Linked DNA regions of Anolis sagrei. The main gene of each other region encodes a partner of the protein of the gene in region 3 in a complex. Links are inferred from orthologs where the notes say so. Each region holds a gene or a part of one and is shown on either strand. Other genes may lie near its edges. The genes, in order: MED4, MED21 and MED24.

What was found.
Region 1: MED24 (region 3) and MED4 share a complex: the UniProt entries of both Homo sapiens proteins name them as parts of the mediator complex. The link is inferred for Anolis sagrei from reciprocal best matches to the Homo sapiens genes MED24 and MED4.
Region 2: MED24 (region 3) and MED21 share a complex: the UniProt entries of both Homo sapiens proteins name them as parts of the mediator complex. The link is inferred for Anolis sagrei from reciprocal best matches to the Homo sapiens genes MED24 and MED21.

Annotation. Positions count from the first base shown.
Region 1 is NC_090021.1:150,140,627-150,144,378, forward strand, and holds the start of MED4 (mediator of RNA polymerase II transcription subunit 4), read left to right. Parts: upstream 1-1,284; 5' UTR 1,285-1,335; coding exon 1,336-1,421; intron 1,422-3,210; coding exon 3,211-3,277; intron 3,278-3,752. Other genes in the region: SUCLA2 (succinate--CoA ligase [ADP-forming] subunit beta, mitochondrial), read right to left, coding at 1,027-1,182. UniProt on the Homo sapiens protein: Component of the Mediator complex, a coactivator involved in the regulated transcription of nearly all RNA polymerase II-dependent genes.
Region 2 is NC_090025.1:91,892,980-91,896,731, forward strand, and holds the start of MED21 (mediator of RNA polymerase II transcription subunit 21), read left to right. Parts: upstream 1-1,496; 5' UTR 1,497-1,561; coding exon 1,562-1,603; intron 1,604-3,752. UniProt on the Homo sapiens protein: Component of the Mediator complex, a coactivator involved in the regulated transcription of nearly all RNA polymerase II-dependent genes.
Region 3 is NC_090026.1:40,879,937-40,883,688, reverse strand, and holds the start of MED24 (mediator of RNA polymerase II transcription subunit 24), read right to left. Parts: upstream 2,223-3,752; 5' UTR 2,151-2,222; intron 1-2,150. UniProt on the Homo sapiens protein: Component of the Mediator complex, a coactivator involved in the regulated transcription of nearly all RNA polymerase II-dependent genes.

The DNA.
Region 1 (3,752 bases), on a different chromosome or scaffold from region 3:
ACAATAATTAAAATGAAGAACAATTTTAACAAATATAAACTTATTAGTATTTCAATGGAAAGTGTGGGCCTGCTTTTGGCAGAGGAGATAGGATTGTTGTTGTTGTTGTTGTTGTGTGCTTCCAAGTCATTTCAGAGTTAGGTTGACCCTGAGCGAGGGCTGGGTAAATGACCTTGGAGGGCCGTATCTGGCCCCTGGGCCTTAGTTTGAGGACCCCTGGTCTAAATGCTACTCAGTAATTTCCCTCTAGAGCAGTGGTTCTCAACCTGGGGTCCCCAGATGTTTTTGGCCTACAACTCCCAGAAATCCCAGCCAGTTTACCAGCTGTTAGGATTTCTGGCAGCTGAAGGCCAAAAACATCTGGGGACCCCAGGTTGAGAACCACTGCTCTAGAGTTTTCTCAAGGCTTGAGTTATAAATTCACTCTTCCAAATGATATATATTCCTTCCATGAGGAAGAACTTCCTGACTGTGAGAGCCGTTCAGCAGTGGAACTCTCTGTCCCGGAGTGTGGTGGGGGCTCCTTCTTTGGAAGCTTTTAAACAGAGGCTGGATAGCCATCTGTCAGGGGTGCTTTGAATGCAATATTCCTGTCCAGGGGGTTGGACTGGATGGCCCATGAGGTCTCTTCCAACTCTTTGATTCTATGTTTCTAAGGCCTTGAGTCTCTTCTGTCAAACGGCAACTGGAGCCCCTTGCACATAGCTGGATAAAATCCCCATTGAACTGGGTTATGTGGCATTGTGGACTCAGATAACGCAGATCAAAGCAGATATTGTGGAAGACCTGCCTTGATAGTCTGGGTTATATGGCTGTGTGGAAGGGCCCTCCCAGGGTTCCCCAACAGTGGTGCCAAACTGTGTTAACTCGGCAGTGCAGAGTGTGAGCCCTCCCTCTGCAGAAAGAGGTGAGTTCCGGGTGCCGGCGCCGGAAGGAGGGGGAGGGCATCTAAAGGACGCTGGGGAAGGAAAGCAAGGCCAGGCCAGGGTCTGTCTCCACCGCCCTCCTCTTCCCCGCTCCCCTCACCTTGGCAGCGAGGCTGGCGCGCCCTCCCTGGTATCCCCTCAGCTGCCTGGCGGCCGCTGTCACCACCCGAGAACACATCATGGAGGCGGCCATGACGAGCCTCCTTCCTCCCCGGCCCCTCGGCTCAGGCGAGCTTGCCCCGCTCGCGCTACGCATGCGCCAGCGCGAGCCACAGCACGGGCCAGGGCGCGCGCCCTCAATCACCCTGGCGCCACGAGGGGCGCTGCCACTTCCGGTTTGTGTGCCTGTTTCTCTCGCTTCCGGCGCGTTCACCCTCCCTCCCTGTTGTCAGAGACGCGGAGAGAGGCAATGGCGGCGGCGGCAGGGGTTGGAGACCGGAGTAGCACTCGGGAGCGGCTCTTGGCAGCGCTGGACGACCTGGAGCTCCTTGCCAGGTAAGTTCCCCTTGTCGCAGGGGCAATGTCTGCAGGGACGCCTTCTTCGCTTCTCAGGGCCGAGGGCCTTGGTCATCTTCTGGCTGATGTTGATGCAGGCGAAACGTCAGGAGAGAATGCCTCTAGAACATGGCCATATAGCCCGAAAAAAACCTACAACAACCCAGTGATTCCGGCCATGAAAGCCTTCGACAATACATTGAACATCTCTACGGGGAGAAACTGTTCCAAGCCATATCAACATGAGCCAGAAGATGAATTCCCAGGACTGGGACAAAATAGACAACCTCACTTACAGGAAAATGGAGATAAACCCTTTTTCCTAGTTCCAACAGACCTCACAACCTCTGAGGATGCTTGCCATAGATGCAGGCGAAACGTCAGGAGAGAATGCCTCTAGAACATGGCCATATAGCCCGAAAAAAACCTACAACAACCCAGTGATTCCAGCCATGAAAGCCTTCGACAATACATTGAACATCTCTACTGGGAGAAACTGTTCCAAGCCATATAAACATCAGCCAGAAGATGAATTCCCAGGACTGGGACAAAATAGACAACCTCTGAGGATGCTTGTCATAGATGCAGGCAAAACGTCAGGAGATAATGCCTCTAGAACATGGCTATATAGCCCGAAAAAGCCTACAACAACCCAGTGATTCCAGCCATGAAAGCCTTCGACAATGTATACTCAAACAGAATATTAATTGAGGACACAGAAATGCTGGTCCACTCTGACAACCGGATAATATAAACCATAAGAATGTCAGACCTCACTACCTTTGAGGATGCTTGCCATAGATGCAGGCGAAACGTCAGGAGAAATGCCTCTAGAACATGGCTCTATAGCCTGAAAAAAACCCACAAGAACCTACTCATAAGAATGTTTTTCATACATATGTTATGGTCATAAAACATTCAATGTATGTACAAACAAATCTTGTCGAAGTACAACAGCCAGACTTTGCAGCTGCTACTCAATGCTAATCAAGGCTTCAAATAGGCAAAGGTTCTTTCCCCCACTCTTGTCCTTCCACAGATATATTTACACCCCACTTGCCTCATTCCAACACACCTCTGAACAAACATCTGAGGGTGCCTGCCATAGTTGCAAACGAAACATCAGGAAAGAATGCTACTGAAACATGGTCATACAGCCCAAAAAAAACTCACAGCAACTCAATGAAATATGTTCTGGTTTTTCAAATATGGTTCCAGTCACCGGAGAATAAATGGAAGCGATGCAGCAAACCAGGGGGGGGGGGGGGAAACTTTTATAGGAATTGGGGCCAAACACATGTAGCCAGAACATGACCTAAAGGGCCAATTTTTTGGGAAACAGAATTCAGATGAGCACTTAGTTCTTGTGTAATTATTTTTGTTGCACCTCACTTAATCAGAATACACATGCATATACATTAAACCAATAAGGTCATAAAATGCAAAATTGCAAACATTAACAAATAGACTTCCTAACTGGAAGCAGGAGGCAGAGAAATTCCATGGGTTTTGAGTTGTTCATTATCTTCTTATGAGGAAGTCAATCACTACATAAGAAATTGATAGGTTCCATCTGCATACAGCTGACTAACCTTTTTTTTCATCTGTAAAGTACTGGAAGGCAGAAATTGATTTGGTTATCAGTATAAAGATGTTCTTGTGAAATATGGAGAGCTATTAAGTTTATGATTTTTTTTGAAGTTTAACAATAGAGGCAGGAAAATGTGTTTCTGTTCTAAAAGAGGATAAACTCTTTCTTGCTTCTTTCTTTATGCTAAATGTGCTTCAGGGAGCTGATTGAAATGCTGGCAATTTCAAGAAACCAGAAACTTACACAAACCGGAGAGGACAGCCAGGTAATCAAAGAGTTTCGAAATAATATAAAGAGTATTAAAGTGGTTGACCTTTTCACTTCTTACCATACTTACTCAAGCATAATTTGTTATCAATTGTAATGTTCATCTCAATTTTGAAAGTGCACATTGCAAAAAAAAATGTTTTCTTGTTAAATGTAATGCATGGGTTCCCCTTGCCTGTTGGATGTTCAGCTCACCACCCTGGAAAAATTGACAGGCAAGGAGAAGCCTTGCTTCTCCATCTGTCCAAGGCTGGTGAACTAACTAGCCTCAGCCTGACGGACGTTTGGCAGCGTCTCAAATAAGGCCTCATTCACAAGGCCTTCAAAACTGAGTTCTCAGCCTGATGGAAGGGTGCAGGCAATTCTAACGCACCATCAAATCTTATGCGTACCTCACCTTTGGCTATGTAATTTAGCCAAAAAAAGGTGAGCATTAAATTCGAGTAAATATGGTATTTCAAATGTTGAATAGT
Region 2 (3,752 bases), on a different chromosome or scaffold from region 3:
TTAATCAAGGTGGTCAGTTGAAACATTCACACCTAGCTCCAGCAGACAAGAGTCCTTTGTCTCACCCTGGTCATTCCACAGATATATAAACCCTTTTGCCTAGTTCCAACAGACCTCACAACTTCTGAGGATGCTTGCCAAAGATGCAGGCGAAACATCAGGAGAGAATGCCTCTAGACCATGGCCATATAGCCCGAAAAAAACTACAACAACCCAAAGGTTTGTATATATCAGCAATCCAATGTTACACTATCTCAGCCCAAAATGTAGACAATTTGGGCTTTGGGGTATAGCAATTTGGATAAGAGATGCTCAGCTCAAACTGATCAGCTATTTATTTATCGTGTCATCAGCAACCATTGTATTACAATTCTAACAGAGCAAAACAAACACACAGATTAAAAAGAAAAAGGAAAAAAAACACACAGATTTTGCAAATTTGGTATTTGGTTAAATGTCCTTTGACGAGTATCTGGCCACTTGGAGTGCCTCTGGTGTTGCCGCAAGAAGGTCCTCTATTGTGCATGTGGCAGGGCTCAGGGTGCATTGCAGCAGGTGGTCAGTGGTTTGCTCTTCTCCACACTCACATGTCGAGGATTCCACTTTGTAGCCCCATTTCTTAAGATTGGCTCTGCATCTCGTGGTGCCAGAGCGCAGTCTGTTCAGCGCCTTCCAAGTCGCCCAGTCTTCTGAGTGCCCAGGAGGAAGTCTCTCATCTGGTATCACCCATGGATTGAGGTGCTGGGTTTGGGCCTGCCACTTTTGGACTCTCGCTTGCTGGGGTGTTCCAGCGAGTGTCTCTGTAGATCTTGATTTAAGTCGTTGACGTGCTGGCTGATACCCAAACAGGGGATGAGCTGGAGATGTCTCTGCCTTGGTCCTTTCACTATTGGCTGCTACTTCCCGGCAGATGTCAGGTGGTGCAATACCGGCTAAGCAGTGTAATTTCTCCAGTGGTGTAGGGCGCAGACACCCTGTGATAATGCGGCATGTCTCATTAAGAGCCACATCTACTGTTTTAGTGTGGTGAGATGTGTTCCACACTGGGCATGCATACTCAGCAGCAGAGTAGCATAGCGCAAGGGCAGATGTCTTCACTGTGTCTGGTTGTGATCCCCAGGTTGTGCCAGTCAGCTTTCGTATGATGTTGTTTCTAGCGCCCACTTTTTGTTTGATGTTCAGGCAGTGCTTCTTGTAGGTCAGAGCACGATCCAGAGTGACTCCCAGGTATTTGGGTGTGTTGCAATGCTCGGCTACGACTCTGGAAACCAGGGTCTGAATCCGTGCTAGACTGGGTGCCTCACAGGAAGGCAAAGGTAAACACTGGAAAGGCCTGAAGGGACTGCTTTCCCTTGCAAGAAGGAGGTTTTTCCCATCCAACAGAGGGCGCAGTTGAAAGAATCCCATTCGTCACCCACAGAATCAATACTTTACAATCTTCCGGATTGGACCAGCGCGTCACGGCGTTGCTTAGCAACGCCACCTCCCGCCCTTTCCTCGGGATTGGCCGGGAGCTTCCCATTGGCTCTCGCGTGGCTTTGTGTTGGTCGCTGCTTCCAAGATGGCGGATCGCCTCACTCAGCTGCAAGACGCCGTCAATTCGGTGAGTTGACGAGGAGGATGCATGCATGCATGCATGGGCCATTGGTCTTCCCCCTTCTCTGGAAAGTTGGAGTTGTATTTATTTTTATTGGAAGGAGAGAAAAAAAGGCAATTTGCTCTAGGGATGGCTTCTACTAAATAAATCCCTGAGTAGAAATGGCCACTCTCTCGCCCTTTTCTTAGTTCTTACTCTCCTTCAGACCACATTTTGTCAAGCTGTTATTCCATCTCAACTGCTATGGCAGCACTGTATGACATTCTTGGATAGGCAGTGTTGAAGAACTTAGACGTTTTCACCAGAAAGCCTTTGGGTCTCACTGAACTTCAAAACTCTGGGGTTCCACAGGATGTTGCCATGGCAGCTGAAGTGGAGTGAGAGCGCCGTAGCCAGGTAGAGTGACAGGGCCCACAATGAGTTTAGCAAAATACTTACACCATGTCACAAAATTTGAGAATTTTTCTGTTCCTAGTTTGAAAGTGATATTTCTTGTTTAATTGTGCGGTACTTTGAAAGCAGTTGCTCTACTCCAGAAATTTTGTTTTTGTGGCTGACACAAATGATGGCCCCTTCTACACTACCATGTAAAATTTATTTATTTATTATTCGAACTTATATGCCGCCACTCCCCTGGGGCTCAGAGCGGCTTACAAGAATAGGCTAAAATCGAACACAATTTTAAAACAATTTAAAACAATTTAAAAACAGCAATATCAAACATTAAAAGCCTGTCAAAACAGGTATGTCTTACATGCCCTGCGGAAAGCTGGTAAGTCCCGCAAGGCACGGACTTCAGGTGGCAGAGTATTCCAGAGTGATGGTGCCACTGCTGTGAAGGCTCTGTGTCTGGTTGCTGTTAGACGCAAGGTCTTGACACTGGGGACTTCCAATAGATCTTGGTCCTCAGAACAGAGGGATCTCTGGGGTTGGTAGGGGGTGAGGCAGTCCCTCAGGTACATTGGCCCTAGACCATGCAAGGCCTTAAAGGTGAGTACCATCACTTTGAAAGTGATCAGGTGCTCAATTGGTAACCAATGCAGCTGCAGTAAGATTGGTGTTGTGTGGCATCTCATCGGAATTCCCGCAAAAAGCCGAGCAGCTGCATTTTGTACCAACTCGAGCTTCCGGATCATCGACAGAGGAAGGCCAATGTAGAGGGCGTTACAGTAGTCCAATCTTGAGATGACTGTAGCCTGGATCACCATAGCTAGGTCATCCCTAGACAGGTAGGGACAGCCATCTAGCCTGCCGCAGATGAAAAAAGGCAGTTCTGCTAACAGCAGAGACCTGGGCCTCCATGGTCAGCAGAGGGTCCAAAAGGACTCCCAGATTACTTGCTTTGAACAGGATTATATAGCAGTGTAGACTCGGGTCCCTTTCACACAGCTGAATAAAATTCAGATTATTTGCTTTAAACTGGAATATATGGCAGTGTGGACTCAGGCAACCCAGTTCAAAGCAAATATTGTGTGATTTTCTGCCTTCATAGTCTGGGTTTTATGGCTGCATGGAAGGGCCCTCAGGCTCCTTCTAAACTGACGTTTAATCCAGTTCAAATCAAATAATGTGAATTATCTGATTTTATAATCTGGATTATATGGCAGTGTAGAAGCAGCCTAAATTAAATTGATTCAGGTCCCATCTACATAATAATAATAATTATCGTTATGATTGTGTTTATTTATATCCAACCCCTTCTCCAAACAGGACTCGGGGCGGCTTGCAAAAAAGAAAACAGTACAAAAACCAAAGCAAAAATAAAACATAATTCATAAACTGCAATATCAAAAACCTAACAAAAAATAAAATGCAATACAAAAGCCAAGGCAAAAAAAAAACAATACATAAACAGCAGTCTCAAAACCTAACAGATTATCTGCTTCAAACTGAATTACAGTGTTCCCTCACTTATCGCGGGTGTTCCGTTTCAGGGCCAGCCACGATAAGTGAAAATCTGCCCACTCAGCGACAGCCGCCTCCTCCTCACCACTTCCGCTGCTCCCGGCCTCTGATGCTCCTTGGGCACCGTTGATGGCATTGCCAGGCTGGTCTGAGGCCTCAGCCCAGCCCGGCAGTGCCATCAACGGAGCCCAAGGGGCTTCCAAGGCCGGGAGCAGCAGAGGCGGTGAGGAGGAGGCCGCCACCAATGATA
Region 3 (3,752 bases):
TCAACTGAAGCTGGATTTACACTGCCATATAATCCAGTTCAAAGCAGATAATCTGGATTTTATATGGCAGTGTACATGGAGCCTGGGAAAATATATACCAGAGGGTGTACCCACTGTAGAAATAATGTATTTTGACAACATTTTACCTGCTGTGGCTCAATGCTGTGGTTTCACAAAGCCTTCAGCCTTCTCTGCCAAAGGGGGCTAGTGCCCCCAACCAGACTATAACTCCCATAACATAGCGCCATAGCAGTTAAAGTGATATCAAGTTGATTAGACTGTAAATGTAGGCTGAGAGGCTACATATCTCCTACCACCGGTTTCTTGAAAGCTAATTTCATCTGGATCATATGCTTACAAGGAATCTTACAAAATAGAAAAAAATAAAATATTAGCCTATGGAGACCTAAGAGCTGACACTCACGACCCTTTCACACCACCATATAACCCAGAATATAAAGGCGGAAAATCCCAAAATATTTGCTTTGAACTGGGTTAGAGAGAAGGATATTAGAGGCAAAGATGAAGTACTTTGGCCACATAATAAGATAGGAACGCTTGGAGAAGATAATGATGCTGGGGAAAATGATGCTGGGAGAAAGGAAGATGGGCCAACTAAGGACCAGATGGATGGATGGTATCCTTGAAGTGACTGGCTTGACTTTGAAGGAGCTGGGGGTGGCCACAGCCAATAGGGAGCTCTGGAGTGCTGGTCCATGAGGTCACGAAGAGTCAGAAGCAACTGAATAAATAAACAACAAGTATTATCTGAGTCCACACTGCCTTATATTCCAGTTCAAAGCAGAAAATGGGGGCTTTATTTAGCTGTGTAGAAGGAGCCTCAGTGTACATCTACACCGTGGAATTGATGCTGTCTGATACCACTCAAATGTTATGGAATGATGGGAAATGTAGTTTCACAAGGTCATTCACCCTCTCTGCTAAAGGGTGTTGGGCTTTCACCAAATCACAATTCCCAGAATTCAACAGCATTCATCCAAGGCAGTTAAACTAGTAACTAACTGCATTAAGAGTATGGAAAGAAAAGGGGAAAAACATTATTTAGTATCACATAAAACTCACTGTGGTAGTTAGGTTGCAATATCATACAATCATATTTAGAAAGCCCAATTTAAGGTGCAGGTGCTTACCTACAAAGCCCTAAACGGTTTGGGACCATCCTACCTGTGTGACCGCATCTCCGTTTATGAACCCACGCGCACACTTCGTTCATCCGGAGAGGCCCTGCTCGTGATTCCGCCTGCGTTGCAGGCGCGTTTGGTGGGGACGTGAGACTGGGCCTTTTCTGTGGTGGCCCCCCGACTCTGGAACACCCTCCCCAAAGATCTTAGGCAGGTCCCTATATTGGCAGGCTTTAGAAAGAACTTGAAGACCTGGCTGTTCCGATGTGCCTTTCCAGAATAGGAAAACTCCAATAACAAGTCCCAGAAGCACTTTATTAGAATTAAGACTACTGCACACCGCACACTGCACTTACCCTATAATCCTTACATATCACCTGTCACATCAGCACTTTTAATTCTGTACCCATTACTCTTGCCCGGCCCAGTTTTATTGTGTCTTGGTGTATTGTTTATTGCTTGTTGTTTAATATTGCTTTGATTGTTTTTAATTTGCTTTAGGTTTTGTATTGTTGTGTTGTTTTTTGAAGCCTTGGCCTTTGTAAGCCACATCGAGTCCTTCGGGAGATGCTAGCGGGGTACAAATAAAGTTAATAATAATAATAATAATAATAATAATAGAAAATGCCTTGTTTTTGAATAGACATGTAGAACTGCTCTGGCAAAGTTTACATTTTGCATTAAACTTAAGTTACATCGTAAGACCATGTGGATTCTAGTAAAACAAACTCCTTGCAAGACTAAAAACAGGTCACTCATATAGTGAACAAAACTCAAGAGGCCCCTTCTACACTGCCATATAATCCAGATTATCAAAGCAAATAATACACATTATCTGCTTTGAACTGGATTATCCGAGTCTACACTGCCATATAATCCAGTTGAAAACAGAGAATCTGGATTTTATCTGGCAGTGTAAAAGGGGCAGACATAATAACCAAAGGGGGTTTGGTTATTAAAGTGGAGAAAAACTGAGGATTCTTCATTGTTTTCCTTTGGTCCACTTACCTATTCCTTTCCCTATACAAAGAAACACACGCCTCTCAGTTCCTGGATTCCGCCATTTTCCCACTTCGCAAAGAGCCGTGCGCTAATTGGCTGGCGCGATCCCTAAGGCGCAAGGGCTGGTGGGGGATGTAGTTTATTTGAATCCAATGGAGTGTAATGGGGTTTTTGAAGGAATTATTCTATTTGAGGGAGAAAAAGAACATAATAGAAAGGCCATAATAATACCAAGGAGCACAGCTACAGTCTGCTTACTATAATGAACTCACACAAACTAAAGTAATAAATAAAGAAAATAAATCTGCAAACTCCATACTAACTATCCTTTATTATGTGAATACTTTTAAATGAGATAATATATACACACACACACACACACAATTTTATATATATATATATATATATATATATATATATATATACCCTGTGGCGCAGTGGGTTAAAGCACTGAGCTGCTCAACTTGTTGACCGAAAGGTCGCAAGTTCAAATCCAGGGAGCAGGGTGAGTTCCCGCTGTTAGCCCCAGCTTCTGTCAACCTATTAGTTCAAAAACATGCAAATGTGAGTAGATCAATAGGTACCGCTCCGACAGTAAGGTAACAGCGCACCTTGCAGTCATGCCAGCCACTTGACCTAGGAGATGTCTATGGATAACGCCGGCTCTTCGGCTTAGAAATGGAGATGAGCACCACACCCCAGAGTCGGACACGACTGGACTTAATGTCAGGGGAAAACCTTTACCTTTACCTTATATATATATATATATAGAGAGAGAGAGAGAGAGAGAGAGAGCTCTCGGTTAATCAGCACCCATGAGGATTAGTAGATGTCAAATAAACATAATTTCTGCTTGCTTGAGAGTTACTATTAAAATTGACCTAACTAATACTACATCCCATACTATGTCATATCATAAGCTCTGTACTGACTTGATATTGAAATACAGTCACTGAAATCAAATAAAAACAAATGTAATGTAACACAGTTTTACTGTTTTACTGTATCACACTTTTAAAATGTAAATAATAATAAGAGGAAGAATAATTTTATTTTTCTACCGCCTCACCTCGTGGCTCGAGGCGGGTTACAGAATAATTGGAACACATTGTTTTGTTGATTCCGTCGCTTCCGACTCTTCGTGACCTCGTGGACCAGCCTATGCCAGAGCTCCCTGTTAGCCGTGGCCACCCTCAGCTCCTTAAAGGTCAATCCAGTCACTTCAAGGATACCATCCATCCACCTTGCCCTTGGTCGGCCCCTCTTCCTTTTTCCTTCCTTTTTCCCCAGCATCATTGTCCTCTCTACTCTTTCCTTTCTTCTCATGATGTGGCCAAAGTATTCCATCTTTGCGTCTAATATCCTTCCCTCCAATGAGCAGTCGGGCTTTATTTCCTGAATTATGGACTGGTTGGATTTTCTCGCAGACCAAGGCACTCTCAGAATTTTCCTTCAACAACAGAGTTCAACAGCGTCTATCTTCTTTCACTCAGTCTTCCTTATGGTCCAGCTCTCACATCCATAGGTTACTACGGGAAATATCACTGCTTTAACTATGCAGACCTTAGTTGTCAGTGTATTGTTTCTACTCTTCACTAATTTATCGAG